Macaca fascicularis: one gene and its partner. The protein of the gene in region 2 purifies or fractionates together with the protein of the main gene of each other region. This does not show direct contact. Links are inferred from orthologs where the notes say so. Each region holds a gene or a part of one and is shown on either strand. Other genes may lie near its edges.

What was found.
Region 1: the proteins of KCNJ4 (region 2) and DLG4 purify together in Homo sapiens (affinity purification with western blotting, with the first as the bait; 3 studies listed by BioGRID). This does not show direct contact. The link is inferred for Macaca fascicularis from reciprocal best matches to the Homo sapiens genes KCNJ4 and DLG4.

The regions. Positions count from the first base shown.
Region 1 is NC_088390.1:7,243,405-7,247,204, forward strand, and holds part of DLG4 (disks large homolog 4), read right to left. Parts: intron 1,704-3,800; coding exon 1,408-1,703; intron 1,227-1,407; coding exon 1,124-1,226; intron 984-1,123; coding exon 869-983; intron 1-868. UniProt on the Homo sapiens protein: Postsynaptic scaffolding protein that plays a critical role in synaptogenesis and synaptic plasticity by providing a platform for the postsynaptic clustering of crucial synaptic proteins.
Region 2 is NC_088384.1:13,196,203-13,200,792, reverse strand, and holds the start of KCNJ4 (inward rectifier potassium channel 4), read right to left. Parts: upstream 3,092-4,590; 5' UTR 2,178-3,091; intron 1-2,177. UniProt on the Homo sapiens protein: Inward rectifier potassium channels are characterized by a greater tendency to allow potassium to flow into the cell rather than out of it.

The DNA of each region.
Region 1 (3,800 bases), on a different chromosome or scaffold from region 2:
GGAGCCAGCATCCGGGTGGCCGGTGATGCCATTCAGCAAGAGGGAAACTGCTGGCACAGCAGGACAGAACACAGTTCCACAGCAGGATGGTGAGCTCAGTGTGGGACATGTTGAGTGTGGGATGCCTGTGGGACATCCCAGTGGAGATGGCCAGAAAGCAGATGGCCAAAAGTGCAGGTCTTGACCTCCAGAAAGAGGTCAGCCAGGGCCAACAGCTCCGAGAGACATCTGCAGAGCGGAGTGGCAGACGAGGCCATGCAAGCCACAGGGCCAGACGGGGAGAGAAGTAGGGGGTGACCCGTGGGGGCGGGACGGAGATGTGCTTTGGCGGAAACCTAAGCCACAAAAAGAGTCAATGGAGACGAACCCTAAGAGGGGAGAAAATGCCACTGGAGAGACGGGGGCAGGCACCACGGAGCTGCAGCCCACCTCTCCGGAACTGCCCACAGCACCGCTGGAGAGAGGGGGGCAGGCACCACAGAGCTGCAGCCCACCTCTCCGGAACTGCCCACAGGGATGTGAAGGCTAGGGCAACACTCCAAATACCCTAGAGGACCATGCTCCACCAAGCATTAACCTTCGAGAAGCCAAATTGTGCGGTGGCCTGGGAGTCCCGAGGAAGTGCTGGGATGACCAGGGGCTAGAAGGCAACTGGGATACTTGGGGTAGAGGCTATTTTCCCATCGACAGGGAGTATTTCAAACGTTAACCTGTGCAGTGAAGCCCATGAACCCCTGCTGCGCCTCAGGCCTGGGGTGGGGAGTCAGAGCAGGCAGGGTAGAGAGGAGGAGCGGCTGAGGCCTGGGCCAGGCACGGAGTGCCCAGGAACGCAGAGGGGCGGAGGAGCCCAGCCCGGGGAGCCTCTGACCTGATGTAGAAACCCCTTTTGGGGTTGCTCCGCAGGGAGGCAGTCCCTGAGCCCAGGCTGCTGTTCATGAGCTGTTCCCGGAGGTCGTGGATCTTGGCCTCGAATCGGCTGTACTCTGAGGAAGGACAGGGAGGTTCCTGAGCTCTGTCCCCATCCTACTGCCACCCCTGTCCTCCCCTACTGAAGCCATCAGCTGAGGAGGCAGAGTTCTAAGGGCCATTTTAGCTCACAAGACAGGAACTTCTGGCCTGGTACCTTCTGGTTTATACTGAGCGATGATCGTGACCGTCTGACCTGCATTCTTCAGGGCAATGGCGGCCTGCTCGTGGCTGGCATTTCGGAGGTCAACACCGTTGACCTAGAGAGAGGAGGACAGGCTGTGTCACCAGAGACAGAAGCCAGCACTTCTGGGTCCAGGTGGAGCAGGGAGTGGTCCCGCAAGAGGACTCGGCTGCAGCCCACCCAGGCCCCTCCCCAAGAGCTCTGCGCTCTGCCCTGAGGGGAGGGGGTGGTGCAGGTAGGGGCAGGCCTTCCCTCACCGACAGGATCTGGTCCCCCTTCCGCAGCTCCCCACTGAGGTCTGCAGGGCCCCCGGCCAGGATAAAGGAGATGAAGATGCCTTCACCGTCCTCGCCACCCACGATGTTGAAGCCCAGGCCCGTGGAGCCCCGGTGGATCACAATTCGCCTCGGTTCTCGGGGAATGTCTTCCTCCCCGAGCAGGTCCTTGGCCACTGGGGAGTAGCGCCGAGGGGAAGTGGGGGTCATGGCTGTGGGGTAATCGGTGCCCAGGTAGCTGCTGTGACTGATCTCGTTGTCCAGGTGCTGAGAATAAGCTGAGGAAGACACAGGGCAGAGATGAAAGTGCCTGGAGGGAAACAGCATCCGCCACCCAACCTTCTCCCCAGGTGCCAGGAGAGCCAAAGTCAGGTGGAAGGGAAGTTGTTCTCTCAGAGACGCCGGGGTGGGGTGGTAAGGGGATATCGGATCACAGTGACGTCAGGGGTCAGGAATTTAGAGGTGACATCACAGGCTGGTTGTCCTAAGGGATAAAGAATTTAAACATTATATGTCCTCAGTATGCCAGGGATGGGGAAGTCAAAGGGAACATTAATATTACGCTTTGGGAGTTTTCTTTTGGTTCCTGTGTCACTCAAATCTCTTAATCCATAAAATTCTTCTCCCTCTTTTTCCCCCCAACTCTTTGCCATCCATTTGTTAAGAAAAACTAGGTCATTTCTCTAAAAGAATTTCCCACATTCTATGAGGGAAATTCTTTTTTTTTTTTTTTTTTTTTTGAGAAGGAGTCTCAGGCTGGAGTGCAGTGCTGTGATCTCAGCTCACAGAAGCCTCTGCCTCCCAGGTTCGAACGATTCTCCTGCCTCAGCCTCCTGAGTAGCTGGAATTACAGGCACGCACCACCACGCCCAGCTAATTTTTGTATTTTTAGTAGAGATGGTGTTTCACCATGTTGGCCAGGTTGGTCTTGAACTTCTGACATCAAATGATCCACCCGCCTATGCCTCCCAAAGTGCTGGGATTACAGGCGTGAGCCACCTTGACCAGCCTAGGAGGGAAATTCTTTTTTTTTTTTTTTTTTTTTTGAGGCGGAGTCTCGCTCTGTCACCCAGGCTGGAGTGCAGTGGCGCGATCTTGGCTCACTGCAAGCTCCACCTCCTGGGTTCACGCCATTCTCCTGCCTCAGTCTCCAGAGTAGCTGGGACTACAGGCACCCACCACCACTCCCGGTTAATTTTTTTGTATTTTTAGTAGAGACGGGGTTTCACCATGTTAGTCAGGATGGTCTTTATCTCCCGACCTCGTGATCCGCCCGCCTATGCCTCCCAAAGTGCTGGGATTACAGGCGTGAGCCACCGCACCTGGCCCTATGAGGGAAATTCTAACAGGGAAATTACTGCTTACCCTCCTGTGGTTTGTTTAGCCTATGCCTCTGCCCCTGTATCTCCTGTAAACTGGCAGTTCATGCTGGAGGCTTGATCAGTTTCAAGTTCAATTCAGAGGTTTTTTTAGTAAGTCCTGTATACTTCATAGGTAGCGCTATGTTCTTCCTACGGCATCACCACAGGATACAATGTCTGGCTGTCTTTCTGTCAGGTAAGATTAATGGTAGGTTCAGGGTCGTCAGCCCTGTCCATCCATTATATGGCACCCCATCAGCCTTTCAGGTGAGTTTTAGCCACATTGACAATCACCGCCTGGTTCTGATATGTATCAGGGACTGCAAAACGATGATATTCTACTTCTTTCTTTCTTTGGAGTGGGGAACATTTATTAGTGGGAATTCTTCTTTAAAAAAGAAAAATCTTAGCCAGGCACAGTGGCTCACGCCTGTAATCCCAGCACTGTGGAGGCCAAGGCAGGCAGATTACTTGAGGTTAAGAGTAACCTGGCTAACATGGTGAAATCCCGTCTCTACTAAAAATACAAAAATCGGCTGGGCGTGGTGGCTCATGTCTATAATCCCAGGTACTCGGGAGGCCGAGGCAGGAGAATTGCTTGAACTCAGGAGGCGGAGGTTGTAATGAGCCAAGATTGTGCCACTGCACTCCAGCCTGGGTGACAGAACGAGACTCTCTCTCAAAAAAAAAAAAAAAAGCCGGGCGCGGTGGCTCAAGCCTGTAATCCCAGCACTTTGGGAGGCCGAGACGGGCGGATCACGAGGTCAGGAGATCGAGACCATCCTGGCTAACACGGTGAAACCCCGTCTCTACTAAAAAATACAAAAAACTAGCCGGGTATGGTGGCGGGTGCCTGTAGTCCCAGCTACTTGGGAGGCTGAGGCAGGAGAATGGCGTGAACCCGGGAAGCGGAGCTTGCAGTGAGCTGAGATCCGGCCATTGCACTCCAGCCTGGGCGGCAGAGCGAGACTCCGTCTCAAAAAAAAAAAAAAAAAAAAAAAAAATTCCTCCAGC
Region 2 (4,590 bases):
CCCCTTGAGCCCAGCGCTACCAGGCCTACCCGCCACCCCCACCCCACACTGCTCCAGCTCTGTTTCCCACCGCCGCTAGTTTCCTGGTTACCATGTTGCTGGTTGTCATGTCGCTTACATGTCCTCGTGACTCAGTGGTCCCCGCAGAGGGGCCCCCTCCTCCTCACACCCCCCTTAGCACTCGCCCCCGCCTCCCCCAGATCCACATTAAGAAGCAGCCCGCCCTGTAAGCCTACACTGTTCCTCCTCCCCTTCCTTCTTATCCTAAGCTAAGACATCTTCTCACAGCATCTCCCAGAGCTACTTCATTCTCTCTTTCGCAAATGTCTACGAACCTACTATGCTCCAGGCTGGCGCACGCGGCTTTCACAGACCTGACACAGTCTGGAAAGTGCTCAACACCCTGATGAAGTCAGTATCATCATCCCTGTTCTCCAGTTGAAGAAACTGAGGTTCAGAGAGGTCAAGCCACCCACCCAAGGTCACCCAGCAGAAACTCAACCAGCTCTGCCTGGTCACAGCCACTCCAGAGGATTTTCTGAGAGAAGAGCTTTCTTTTCAAGGATGACCCAAAGGGCCATGAGGAATAGTACCCCAGATTCCCACTCTAATCCTGGACACTCCTCCTTGGTCAGCTCTCTATTTCCACCATATTCCCACTGCCCCATGTCCACCTCCACCCACTAGCTGTTCATCTGTCTTTTAAGGTAAAGTAAGTCTTTACTCCCATCTCCCCAGCGCTTTCCCCAGTCTGTGAACAGCCCTCTGCTCATTGAGCCCAGGGCCTGCCTTGGAGGTCACTGGGGGAGGGAGTGATGTCCCCATGCCACAGACATGGAAGCTGACAGTTGGGAGGAGAGTGACCAGCCCAGAGGGCTGCTCTCCCAGCCAGCTGAGCCAATTTCTGGGAGCCTGAATGGAAGACATATAAGACCCACTGCCCAGTGTGGAAAACCCCAGAAAGAGTCCCTCCTCCCAATGAGAATGGAGTGGAATGTTCTAGGCTCAGCCCTTCCAACTCCAGCTGGGATATGGGTCAGCTCAGTGGCCAACAGTCTCTGTTCCCACCATGCTGCACCCATCTCTTACCCCAGCTGCCCTGTTCCACCTTTTGCTCCCCTCATCACAGGCCAAGCCAGAGCGACAGCAATGCTCTTGGGCCCCTAAAGTCCTGCTAACTGCCCCCAAAAGGCCTGAAGCCATGGAGGTCATGGGACTCGATGTGGGGGAGAACGAACACACACACACACACACACACACACACACACACACACACACACACACACACAGCTCCAACCCTTCTCTGGGCCTCCCTCCCTGAGTTCCCCACTTCCCCCAAACCTGCTGCTGAACATTCTACTGCTCTTGAGGCCCTGCTCTGTCAGCTGGCAAGGCTGCCCTGCCTCTAATACCCTCTGCTCCACCCCACCCAGCTTGCCACCTCTCAACTCCCTGCATCCTCTCCATCCTGAAGCGGGGACACTGGGGGCAGAAGTGTGGGTAGGGGGCAGGGAGGCTGACACTGGTGGGGGTATATTTGGTCGGTTGCAGGGGAAGTTCTCCCTGCGGGAGGCTCATTGAGACCTCTCTTGCCTTGGGGTGCTCCCTACACTCGGAGGAAAAAGCAGCCTCTGCCTCCCTCCGCAGCCGCAGTTTCTATCACTATGAATGTGCAGTGCCTCCTCTACCGATCCCTGCCCCTGCGCCCTGGGGTCGTGTGGCGCAAAGCAGGCGCTCAAAACATGAGAAGTGGGATTTCGTTCTTCAGATCACAGGGCCATTTGCAACGAGGCTGCAGCTGGGGAGGCGGAAAGGCGCCATCCCCCACCTTGCCACAAGTCACCTGCCTTGAAGCTCCCCGGCATGACAACTGGGGTGGGTGGAGGCAGGGAAAGGTCATGGCCGGGGCAGGAGGTCAAGACCCCTTCCACCCACCTCTCTCCCCCTTTCCAGTACACAACCCAGACCGCGACGCTCCCAGACGGACAGAGCCCGCCCGCTCCCGGGGAGTCACGGGACCGCGCGCGCGGCGCCGGGCAGCCGGGACCCAGCTCCGGATCAGGTGCGGAGCGGGAGGGGCCGGAGCGGCGGGCCCGGGACACACAGACACGCACGCGGCGGGACAGACTGACGGACAGACTGACGGACAGCGCCCGGGGTGGGCGAGCGCGGCTTACCGCTGGGCGGAGGGTCCGACGAGAGTCCGGGAGGCGGCGAGCGGGCGCTACATCCCACGGCGGGATCCGGCGGGCGGCGTCCCGGGCGCGGAGAGGGGAGTCCCGGTGCCTCCTGCCTCCGAACTCGGCCGGCCGGCCCGCGCCCCCCTCCCCGGCTGCCGCTCGGTCTGCGCGTGGGTCTTGGGGTCTCCGCGCGTCCCGGCCGTCCCGCGCCGCTCCCCGCGGGCCGCCCAACTTTCAGCGCTGCCCCGCGCCGCGCCCTAGGCGCCGCCTCGGCGTCAGCATCGTCGGGCTCGGCCGGGCTCAGAGCGCGGGGGTCCGGGGGCCCGGGGCGCCCCACCGCCCGCGCCCCCCACCCCCGCCGCAGGCGCCCTCCCCGCCGCCGCCCCCCGCTGCGCGCCGCTCCCTCGCTGTTACCCGCTCCTGGTCGCGCGCTCTGGCCCCGGCCCTGCGCTCCGCTCCCGGCCCCGCTGCGCTCGGCCCCGGCCCCGCGACCCCTCGGCCTCCCGGCCTGGGGTCGCCCTCCCCGCCCCCGCCGGCCGGGCTCTGCCGCCACCTCCCCGACCGCTCTTGCGTCTCTCTCCCGCCGCCGGGGTCTCCGCCGCCCTCGCGTCCCCGTCCCTCTCCCGGCCTCCCTGCCTCCTGCGGCCCCGCTCGCCCTCTGCCCGCGGGGTCTCCGTCTCCGTCGCGGTCGCCCCCTGGCCTCCTCCCGCCTCCCTCTGCCCGCGCTGCCTCTCTCCCCTGCGAGTCTCTGTCCGTCTCCCTCGCGGCCTCTGTCCTTCTCTGTCTCTCCCCCTCCCACTCTCCGTGCGGCCCCCTCTGTCTCGGACCCCGGCCCCCGCCTCGGCCGCGTCCCCGGCTCGCCCGGGAGCCCGAGCTCCCGCCGCCCGCGGCGCGCCGAGAACTCCCAACTCGCGGCACGCCGCCCCGCTTTGCGAGACTTTCGCCCCTCCTCACACGTGACCCGCGCCCCACTGCGGAGGCCGCGCGTCCCCCATCCTGGGAGCCCCGGCGGCCCGCGGGGACCCGCCCTGCCCGCCCCTCGGCCTAACCCGGCCTCAGGCCCCTTCCTGCGGGGCCAGCGGCGCTGAGCAGGGGCTGGGGCTGGGGGCTGCTGGCCCCGCTCCTGCCCTGGATCCTGCCCGGGTTTTCCTCCTCACCCCAGGAGCGCTCCTCCCAGAACCCGTTCCTGGATCCGCTCCCGGGTTTTGTGGGCCCCCCCCAGGGGGCAGGTGGAGAGAGTTCCTCTGAGCCGGGAAGGGGATGGGTGGTAGCTGGTCCATCTGGGGTCCCACGGAGTCCGGCCCCTCTCCTTGGCGGTCCTCGTACTCTCCCGAAGTACCGCCGGTTAAGGACCCGAAGCACCCCACTCCGGGAGTCCGAGGTGGCCCTGTTGGAGGGACCCTCACGATCACTCAGTCACCATTGCCCCATTTTACAGATGGCGAGACTGGGTACCAGAGAGGCTCAGAAACTCGGCCAACGTCACCCAGAGATGACAGAACAAGGCCAAACCCTAGTCTCTTGTTCTCTGTCGTTCTCCATTACCCCAAGCTGTCAGGCCTGGGCCCCACAGTCTGGGGTGTCACGGAACCCCCAGCAGCACCTGTCAAACCAGCTACTTCCTGACCATCCTACCACGTCACTCTAGCCCTCCGAGGAGACAGGAGGGAAAGTGCTCCTCCTTCCAGGGTGGTAGGACGAGAGAACACCTGCAGTTAGACAGCCAGCAGAACTTCCCTGGGAGTCTGGCCATCACCAACTAGCCCCAGTGCAGAGAGGGAGAGACTGAGGCCCCCAAAGCCAGGTGGAGAACTGATGAAATCTGAAATCCCCTCTGGCTCTCCTGAGCCTTGAGGATGTCAGCATAAGAAGAGCAACATGCAAATCACCACAACTGTTTCCCTTCCTGGTGGGCTCTCCCTACTCAAAAGGATCCAGTCCCAACTCCTCAGTGTGGTGTAGTCAGGCCCCACCTTATCTGGCATCCCACATCCCATAAATCCACAGGTACACCCTGATTCCACAGATTCCAGAACATGCCAGAACATGCCACGGGTCTCCACACCTCTGCCTGCACACACTGTTCCTCCTGCCTAAAATGCCCTTCCACCTTCTTTGCCCAGAGAATTCCTGCTGTTCCCCAAGTCCAGCCTCAGTGCCACTTCCTTGAGAAGGCCTCCTGATGACCCTAGCAGAAGTCATTTATCACCCACTCATTCATTCAACCAGCACTAGGCACCCACCACGTACCAGTCCCTGGGCTGGGCACAAGTATGGTTCTTGCTTAGTGGGATGAGGAGTCAGGCTAACCTAGGCTCAAAAGCACCTAGGAGCTACTTGACCTTGAACAACTTTTTATTTAATCTGTCTGTAAATTGAGGACCCTAATGTCCTCCATTCCCCAGGGGTA